Linked DNA regions of Cricetulus griseus. The protein of the gene in region 2 interacts with the protein of the main gene of each other region in a pairwise test. Links are inferred from orthologs where the notes say so. Each region holds a gene or a part of one and is shown on either strand. Other genes may lie near its edges. The genes, in order: Trim23, Tnfaip3 and Ywhah.

Region 1 (3,654 bases), about 52 Mb from region 2:
GCTCTTCCAGAGGTCCTAAGTTCAATTCTCAGTACCCACAAGGTGGCTCAAACCATCTATAGTGGGATCTGACGCCCTCTTCTAGCATAAAGGCATACATTTAGATAGAGCATCATATACATAAAATAAATAAATCTAAAAAAATTAATAAAGACGTCTTAGGCATTCCATGTTCATAGATCTGAAAAATCAATATTGTTCAGGTGTCAGTGTAAGTTCTACCCAAATCCCAATGACATGGAGTGAAAGTACTCTTCAATGGTAGAGTATTTGTATAATATATGCCAAATTACAGATTAGAAAACAAAAAGACAACTTTTGTGGGGAAGAAAAAAATGTTATAGGCCTCAAGGAACACAGCTAAAACAATTTTGAAGAGAACAGAGTCAGAGGACTAACACTTTCTGACATCAAAATATTTTACAAAGCCACAGAAATGAAAAACATGTGGACTGACGCAAAACCAAACAAACCGAGTAAAGTGCCCAAATGTAAACCACCACATATACAACCAAATGATCTGCACCACGGATTCCAAAGATGACTCAACAAAGAAAAAAGATGGTCTTCAAACCTGTAATGAATAAACTGAAGATTGGTGTGTGAAAGAATGAACAGGTACGCTTATTTTACACCACACACAAAAATTAACTCAAAATGAATTAAATGAAAGCACTCCTAACTATAAAGCTAGAAGAATACAAAGAAAAGCTTCAATACCTTGAACCTGACAATAAATACCTGGATATGATACCAAAGCACAGGCAACAAAACCGAAACAGGCTGGCAGTGGTGGCATTCGCCTTTAATCCTAGCACTCAGGAGGCAGAGGCAGGCAGATCTCTGTGAGTTCAAGTCCAGCCTGATCTACAGAGAGAATTTCAGAAACCAGGTCTCGAAACACACACACACACACACACACACACACACACACACACACACACACACACACACACACACACACACACACACACGCGCGCACAGCAAGAACAGGTAAAGAAATTTACATAAAATTTAAGACCTTTCTGCATAATAGGTCATAATCAACATAGTGAAAAAGAAATTTATCAAATGAAGTAAAATATCTAGAAATTAAAAAAAAAAAGCTGAAAAGAGACTGGTAAATACCCATGATTCATAAAGAACTCTTAAACAACAACAAAAAAAGTGAACCAAAATCTTATAGTTACTCAAGACAAACAACAGGAAAGTATACGAAAGAAACATTGTTAACCAAAACAAAATGCAAAATAAGACCACAGTTAAGATAAAATGTCATACAGGTTAAGATGGCCACTATCCAAAATGTGGAGAAATTATAATATTTGTACAACAACAGTAAGATTATGATATGTTAACCATATGTAAAATACCACAGAAATTCCTGATAACATATGTGGCTGAATGCTTGCAAAACATGCACAAAGCTGTGGGTTCCATGCCCAGCATGACAAAAACCTGGTGTGATGACACAAGCCTATAATCCCAGCACTGGAGGTTGAATCATGAGTATCATCATTAGTTCAGTGTCATCCTTAGCTATTATATAGTGAGTTTGAGACCAGCACAGGCTACATACAAACCTTTCTCACAACAAAAAAAAATTTAAAATTTTTAATGGAAAATTTGAAAAAAACTTACTACATGACCCCTAACTTTTATTTCTGGGTATATCACCACAAGAACTGAAAATGGAGGCTTGCAGAGATAGCTAGACAGGAACGGGAGAGATGGCTCCTCGGTTAAGAGCACTGGCCACTCCTTCAGAATGTTTTCCAAAAAGAATCTAAGAAATTTGAGTATTAGCTGGATACCTGACAGTAAAGTATAAAAATATAAAATTACTAAATGTCTTGGGTACAATTCTACTTAAACTGTGAAATAAGAACAGAGATTTAATCTCACTTGTTTCTATTGCCCACTGATGAAAGTTTTTATTGAAATTTTACAACTCATGAGTTCCCTAGTGTCCTCCTTAATTTGATTTACATTTCATGCTACTTGCAATTTGTAGAAAGCATAGGTAAAAACAAGGGCAATACATCACCTTTGTAAAAGTGACTGGGATACTGGCATCCAACTGAATGTGATCTGCAACCTCTGTAAACTGCTGCTGCTGTTTCTGCAGTGTTTCTAATAATCTTGTAATTTCTTGTTTTGCCAAGACAACTCTGCAATCATCCTAGAAAACAAGATGGTATTTCCTATAAAGTTTTCCTCTTAAAAATGGAGACTCCATCAACTTTCAATAAAGACCATGTAATATCACAGTATTAAAAGTAAATTTTAGAAGCTAAGGAGCTACAGATTAGTTTGCAAAAGGCTTGCCTCATGAGCATGAGAACTTTGAATTCAATCCTCAGAACCTATGTAAAAAGCAAGGCACAGTGGTACTTGCTTGTCGTGCTGGAGAGATGTACAGTACATTACATTGGTAAACCCATGTGTTGTTTGAGCTCACTGAGAAGCTGGCTCAGGAACTGGGGTTGCTTCCCTACTTCTGAGCCATGTCTGTTTATGTTAAGTGTCCTCCAAGCCCCTTGTCTGGCACTAACTCTGTGACGAGAAAGGGAACAGCAAAAGAGATCAAGGGTAAAAACATCATATCTTAGATAGGATTCTATTGCTGTGATAAAACAACATAACCAAAAGAAACTTGGAGAGGAAGGATTTATATCAGCTTACAGTTTCACATCACAGTCCATCCCTAAGGGAAGGCATGGCAGGAACTCAAACAGGGCAGGAATCTGGAAGCAAGAACTCATGAAGAGGTCATAGAGGAATGCTGCTTACTGGCTTGTTCTCCATGACTTGCTCAATGTTTTCTTATAGCACCCAGGACCACCAGCCCAGGATGAGCTGGGCCCACCCACATCAATCATTAATCAAAAAAATTCATCACAGGGTGACCCTAAGGCCAATCCAGTGAGGGCATTTCCTCAATTGCCATTCCCTCTTCCAAAATCACTCTAGGCCCTATCAAGTTGATATTAAACTAGCCAGCAAACATCATGTCCTTACAAACAGCAAGAGAACAAACATTCCGAACATGTTACTATTGTTGCTTTATCCCATGATATAAAAGTGCCTACGGTCAGAAAGAAAAGTATGAAGTTCAGCCACAGGAAGCTCATCCATGGAGAGAAAGCTCAATTGGGAACTCTAGCTGGCTGCATTAACTTCTCCAGTTGATTTCTGCTGGACATTGTGAGCACCTGATTTGATGATGTTATTTCTACCTGTGGCTATTTTTTCTTTTACTCAGAAGACTCAATCAAGGCCCTGTTCTGCCTGGAATTCCAGCAAGAACTCTAGCTGGCTGCCTCATGGAGCTTCCCTAGTCAGCTTCTGCTGAGTATTTGTAAGTCCCCAGTTTGACTATGTCATGTTCCTACTGTTACTTGTTTTTTGTGTTTTTCTTTTTTTTTTTTTTCTGAAAATTTCATCTGAGAGGACAATCTGCTCTGCCAGAGACTCTAGCTGGTTGCCTTAGGATTTCTATAGTCAGTAGTTTCTGCTGGATGTTTTGAGCACCCAATTTGATATTTCCCACCCAACCCCCCTGCCCCTCCCAATTTATCTATCTACAGCCATCTATCCATCTATCTACCTATTTGTCATCTATCACTTACTACTTACACTTTTACTTTGGCT
Region 2 (2,887 bases):
TCTAAACCTGTAGGTTAAGACGCCTTTGGGGGTTGCATATTAGATATTTATATTACAATTCATAACAGTAGCAAAACTACAGTTATTTAGTAGAAATGAAATAATTTTATGGATGGGCGTCACCACCACATGAGGAACTGTATAAAGGGTTGCAACACTAGGAAGGTTGGGAACCACTGGTGTAGGGTGAGACGCTTTCACATATCCATCTGGGTTCTGTGCCATTGCTATTAAACCCAAGGCCGGTGCTTGCTTGAGTATCTCATTCTAATCTGCTGATTGTTTCGTGTGTGTGTGTGTGTGTGTGTGTGTGTGTGTGTGTGTGTGTGTGTGTGCGCGCGCGCACGCGCGCAGGTGTTCTTGTGTGTGCATCTATGTGCAACTGCATTCGCTACCGCATAGGGCTTGTACAAAGGTGATGGGAATTCACTCAACTTCTCATGTCTGTGCAGCAACCGCCTGATTATTTTGCATTAGTTATCTCTTTTTCCATGGGTAAAGGGTGCACCCATGGCTCATTATATATCAAAGTCTTCATATTTTACCCCATTTTCTCCCAACATTCATGAATAAAAAACATTAAAATTTGTTCTTAAATAATTTATTTTTTAATAATGACTTTTGTGAAGTTACAGTTCTTTAATAAAACAATCTGAAGAAGTCCAAAAAAGGTAGATTCCATCCTATGAAGACAACTAAATGTGCAAATTTCACATACTTTCTATAAGTATAAATAATTTCATTGTTTCACATTAAGAATGAAAATATCAATAGACACAAAATATTAGGTTATCAACTTTGAAAGAACTAAATGAAAAAAAGACAAAGATGTAAGTCAGGAAAGACAGTGTCAGATAAGAAGAGAAAAGGCTATATAGAGTTATACATCACAAACATCTTCAGGTGCTGGGCTAGAACCCAGGATGTCAGCCCTTCCCTCTGGAGAAATGCATCTCCCTCCAAAGGCAAGCGCAAAACACACAGAAAAGCTACAAGCCAATGGCAGAAACCTCCTCATCCTCATCGCTACTGGCTTTGCGGTTCCAAGGCTTGGGTTCCTATCCAGTACCCCAAGGGCACAGCATTTACACAGTAAGCAAAGGTCATGAAAGGCCACATATTTCTGTGTCCCTCCCCACTCCATCCCTATCTACTCTTCAAAGAGGTAGGATACTTGGAAGCATCTACAGGAGACACACCACAATTTCTTCCTGTGCAGCCGGGGAGTCATTAGAAGTATCAGCTTCTACAGGCTTTATTCATAAAGCAATCCCTTCTTTCCTAGGGAGGCAATGAGTAGAGAGGGCAGACAACTGCCCCACCACACCCCGAGGTCAGGAATTTGCCAGGTTCCCAGAACATGGCGGAAAGCAAGTATGTTATTCCAAGAGAATACTGCAGAAGAAAATCTTCATTTAAATAACGTTGAAGTCCATAATAAATAAAGTACGATGAGGGCACCCTTTAAGGAGGCAGCTTGTTGAATTCACGTAACAAGCTGCATACACAGAGGCAACCTGACAACAACCAGAAAATAGGTTATTATTATTCAGTCTTCCTATTACCTCTGGGGCACCATTTGAATGTTTAAAAAACAACTCCCTTATACATAATATAAGGGTATATTACATATGTACACACGCTGATACACACCTCTGTGCAAACTAGTCTCTCTGGAACTGAAGACAATGATGACCAGTGGTGGCATGTCTTCCTGCTAAGATGTTCTGCTGTCTAAAAGGTGTATGCATACAGTCAAGAGCAGCTTTTTTTGTCTCCATGTGAACATTTCTGTTTCAGCAGCCTCAGGGTTACAGTCTGTGTGCGGCTCTGCTTTCAGACAGAACCTTGGGAACCAAGCAGGCAGATAGGGAAGCCCACCGACTACAGATGCGCTCTACCCATGTCATTTCCCCTGAGCTTCCTCGAGCTTCTGGCTGGCAGAGGGCCTTGGTACTCTGAGGATTCAGCTTTGGCTCTCTGAGAAAAGCTTCCAGGGTGGGGGTGGGGGCAGTTAGGTGGTCTCAGGCTCCAACCCACCTGTCCACGTGCTTTTCTCCTGTTTCCTGGCAGGTGGGCACAGGAACTGCTTGCCAGTCCTAGCATGCATTCCATGTCTCAAGATCTCACCGGATTCCTGGTAGATGAGCAGCAACAGCTTCAGGCTGAATGTGACATCATGCATTGCCCATCACGAGGTCTACTCTCAGCCTACCTGGACATAGTCTTGGTTACCAAACCCGAATGTCACAGCCATGATGAAGAGCTTATCTTGTTTCCTTTGCTCAAAGACACTCGAAGCCACTGTCCCAGGGCCCACCCTTCCTATGGCACTCAGGGGTCTGGAGTACAGCACCACTCCGCCTGGCAGTTTGAGGCCCCTTCTTGCTGGGCCAGTCCTCTTGCTTGCACTTAGCCATACATCTGCTTGAACTGGAAGCACTCGTTGCAGTAACCGTTACACTTGGCATTGCCGAAGTGATCGCAGGCGGGGGCCCGGCAGCGCTGTTTAGGGAGCTCTTCAGAAGTGGGGTCACCCCGGTGAGCCACAGAGCCCACTCGCTGGCTCAGGTGCTGACACTCCATGCATAGTTCCTCACTACGACAGGCCAAGATGTTCTTGCAGGAGGCCCGGGCACACTTGGGCCTCGAGGCTCCCTGTGTCGTACGGGGCATATCTCTGAGCTGGCTAGATCTCTGTGTGGGAAGAACAAGAGAAGGATGTTACATTTCTCAGGAAACCAGACGGGGGTTTCAAATAACAGATTTGGATTCTACAGAGGCTTGAGCTGACTGAGTGAGAGAAGCAGAAAAATGTGCAACTGAGGGTCCATAGCTCCCCACCAATCCTGTGGACCCAGTTTGAGGAAGGTCCTCCCCGCTTCTG
Region 3 (3,754 bases), on a different chromosome or scaffold from region 2:
AATTACACCAACAGGCAAAATAAGATTTTTTTCTACACCTACCTAAAAATATATCCCACTAATATAGGTGGCAAACATTAATTCTGGTAGGAAACAACTCCCCTTATTTTTTTAGTAGTTAACTTGAGGGAATGTTTTATCACAAATTTGATGGTGCAAATATTAAATTCTCTGTTCCTGGTGTCTTTTCCAAACCATGAATCATGAATTTCTAACACACTCAAAGGTTCATTAGCTTGTAAAATGTTATCTTAATGCCCCAGGGAACATCTGTGAATAAAATAGGCAACTTCATTTTCAAGCCCATTTAGAGAGACCAGAGGGCCTTTTTTTCCCTGATGAAACTATATTTTGTTCTGGTAACATCTCTCTAGTCTTTCCTAATTTCCCACCTCAGGAAATTGGCAGCTCCACATACATGACAGCCGTTTTTCCTTAGTTTTAATTCATCTTCATATAAGCCCCATCCATCTTTCTCTTCAACATTTTTATCTCCCAAAACTGCAGCCTTCAAGTACCACTCACACCATGAGCACAGGCCTCACTCAGGGTCCAGGGAGAGGCCTCAACTTGCAGAATCCCAGAGCTATTTGGTGACTTGGTGTGTGAACAGTGGTGGCTTTCAAGATGTACATTAGTGATTACAGTCTTGTTTCCAAAAATTTGCAAAACCATATTTTAACTTTGTTTTCTTAAAGGAAGAATTCACAATTTCTTCAAAGTCCAGACCCCAAACCCAGAACATCCCCTGGTATAAATGAAAAGCTTGTATATAATCAGCACAGCATAGCATAATAGTGAAGTCAGTCTCACCAATGAATCAACAAACAGGGTTTCCAGAGACATTTTGCTGAATGTGTAACAGGGCACTAGAGAAGATAGTAACTTGATTATCTGTTCTTACCTGGGAAATCCTAAATGTTCACCTCAATTTTATATCTCATGTAGTATCAAAATAAAGTTTCCAAATTATATTAACAGGAGTCTCTAGGTTTATAATTTTTTATTTAAGAATCATTTCAAAGGCCAGCTATAGGACATATGAGCTACAATCTAGGGCAGTTAATACTTACTCATTTAAGTCAGCTAAAAACTGCCCTAAGGGCTGCTTAAAAGGCAGATTTCTGAGTCTCACTCCCAAAATGCTTGTCTATGGTGGAGTCCAAGGAAATTCTCCCCAAGCTTAGGAGGTTTACACCAAGACACTTAGTAGCCACGGTTGCACCTCTATCACTGTGACCTTGACAAGAAATATTCTTGACAAGAGAAAACCCAGGACCATGTGAAGAGTCGTCTATAGTGGGGTGGTAACCAGAATTCAAACCCTCGAATAGGCAGGTAGGCTCTAATCTACGATACTTGCTAGGGTGTGGCTGGGCATGTCTCCTTTACCGGAAATCAAGTTGCAGAATCCATCTATGAGGGTCTCAGGAATGCAAAGGCACCCAGGTTTGCTTCATTTTCATTTCCTCCGCAGGCAGACACGCTGCACTGAATGTTGGGATATTATGTAGGGACCCACGCCCTCCTCACGCCTATGACTTCTGGAATGAGGTCTTCGCACACAAAGCCAGACCCGAGGTGTGGAAAATGGGAAAGAACCAACTTCAGGCAAGCAAAGCAAACAGGTCGTGGCGGAGAAAACCAGGAGACGGGTCTCCAGTGGCTGAGGATTCTTTATTACAAGTGGGTGAATGGTGGAAGGGAAGCACGTTTCGCCTCAGGTCGGAAGAAGGGTCTAGAAGCAGGAACGCGATTTCCTCGTGTACCCCCTCCCCCACCAGGGCTCCGAGCGAGGCTGCGGCGACCCCTGCCCGCCAACCTCCGAGGGGAGACCCCGCCGCGGCAGGGCCTCAGGAAATGGAGAGCTCGGCGGCCGCCGCGCCCAAAAGGTGGCTGTGCGCTGGGAGGGAGCCGCCGCCCAGGCCCGACCCGCCCCACAGCCCCCGGCCGCCCGGCTCCCGGTGCGCTCACCGCCTTCATGGCGGAGGCCATGTCGTCGTAGCGCTCCGCCTGCTCCGCCAGTCGCGCCCGCTGCAGCAGCTGCTCTCGGTCCCCCATGTCTCTCGCGACTCGGCCTCGCCTCGCGCGCCCGCACCGCCTGCTTGCTCGCTCGCTCGCCCGCCTGCCCGTCCGCTTCCCGGTCTCCGCCGAGGCCGCCGCCGCGCACGCGCACTGGCTCGCCGGCTGGCGGGAGGCTGCAGGCTGCGCCGCGGCTCGCGCCCTCTCGCTGGCTGGCTGCACGCGCAGTGGCGAGGGCCGCGGAGCCGCGGAGAGAGGACAGGGGGGCGCCGCGGGCGGCGGGAGGGAGGACGCGACCACGCCTGCGCACTCGGAGCGGCGAGCCGCGGGAGGGGGAGCGGGGCGGCCCAGCCCTAACGGTCTTTTTTAAGGTGACGTCATCTACTATAAATAGCTGCGGCTAGGCCCAGCGCTGGAGAGCGGCGCAGGCGCCCTAGGAGTGCTGCATTTTACCGCCGCAGTGTTGGAGGGTAGGGAGCGGCCAGGGCGCGGCGATGGTGGCTCCTCAGGCTGGCGTTGTCGCCGCCCAGGCCAGGAAAGCGTCACAAAACCCATGTTAGAGCTCAGGTTTGAGAAGGGCCCTCCCAGCAAATAACCCTGTGTGGAGAAGCCGCCGCCCCCCACCGAGGGACGTCTCTGCTCCCTGAGGCCACACCCAGCGCTTGGGTCAGCTCTGGTGGTGGCTCCTTCCCTTAGGGACAGCTCCTCAGAGACACTGGAACCCACCATACCGCACCCTGAGAAGTGACCTTCGGCCAGCTCTGGCTTTCACAGGGCTGGCAGGTAGCTTGGCAGAGTTTAACGGTCACGACAGGCCTACGAGGAGCTGGCCCACTGCTGGGCCTTAACTGGCACTAACCTATTTCATACAACCGACTCCACGAAAATCACAGCAGGCCCCCATTTTTCAAAGCCCAAGTGCATGCCGCGACCCCGGTTAAAAAAAAGTTGGCGACCAACCTGGTCGACTTACCCTGTCTGTTTCAAAGATTTGAAAGGAAGTTTGGGGTTACAACACAGAGGTACCATGTTTGCCTGGTGTGAGCGAGGGCCTGAGGTGGACCCCTCAGTGGAAGAAGCAGCAAAAATGCAAAGCAAGGGCACACACACTTCCTGTGTGTGGAGTGACCAAAATCTGATTTCAGTATCTTCTTGGACTTCTATGGCAATGGACTGACTGGTCACTAAGCCCCTCCCAGGCCTGCAATTCCATGCTAAGGGATCCTGGGTTGGGCCTTAAGACCAAGCTAGGAAAAAAAAAAAAAATTAAAACAAGCACTCTAGCCAGTCACAGGTGGCTCTCTGAGTTCCAGGACAGCCTGGTCTAGAAAGCAAGTTCCAGGACAGTCAGGGCTACACAGAGAAACCCTGTCTAGAAACAAAGCAAAAAACAAAACATCCCCAGAGAATCACAGGAGAAGGGGCCTTAGGTTGACTGAGAACTGTGCGTATTGAAGGCAAGGGGGCAGAGATGAACCCCAGACATTGCTCTTCAGAGCTATCATTTTCATTTTTAAATATATAGAGAGGACGTTTTAAACTTTTTGTATTTTGAGACAGAGTTTCTCCGTGTAACAGTCCTCGCTATCCTGGAAATTGCTTTGTAGACCAGGCTAGCCTCGAACTCACTGAGATCCAGCTGCCTCTGCCTTCCAAGTGCTGGGACTAAAGGCATGCGCCACCACCGCCAGACTGTTTCTAACTTTTTTAAACATATTTGGGTGGAAGGCAA

The links.
Region 1: the proteins of Tnfaip3 (region 2) and Trim23 interact in binary tests that used the Homo sapiens proteins (3 or more experiments, as listed by UniProt). The two-hybrid records come from large-scale screens. The link is inferred for Cricetulus griseus from reciprocal best matches to the Homo sapiens genes TNFAIP3 and TRIM23.
Region 3: the proteins of Tnfaip3 (region 2) and Ywhah interact in a two-hybrid assay, tested with the Homo sapiens proteins (2 studies listed by BioGRID). The link is inferred for Cricetulus griseus from reciprocal best matches to the Homo sapiens genes TNFAIP3 and YWHAH.

The regions. Positions count from the first base shown.
Region 1 is NC_048595.1:322,464,648-322,468,301, reverse strand, and holds part of Trim23 (E3 ubiquitin-protein ligase TRIM23), read right to left. Parts: intron 2,183-3,654; coding exon 2,048-2,182; intron 1-2,047.
Region 2 is NC_048595.1:270,735,075-270,737,961, reverse strand, and holds the end of Tnfaip3 (tumor necrosis factor alpha-induced protein 3), read right to left. Parts: intron 2,698-2,887; coding exon 2,413-2,697; 3' UTR 586-2,412; downstream 1-585. UniProt on the Homo sapiens protein: Ubiquitin-editing enzyme that contains both ubiquitin ligase and deubiquitinase activities.
Region 3 is NW_023276807.1:102,061,340-102,065,093, reverse strand, and holds the start of Ywhah (14-3-3 protein eta), read right to left. Parts: upstream 2,265-3,754; 5' UTR 2,062-2,264; coding exon 1,975-2,061; intron 1-1,974. UniProt on the Homo sapiens protein: Adapter protein implicated in the regulation of a large spectrum of both general and specialized signaling pathways. Binds to a large number of partners, usually by recognition of a phosphoserine or phosphothreonine motif.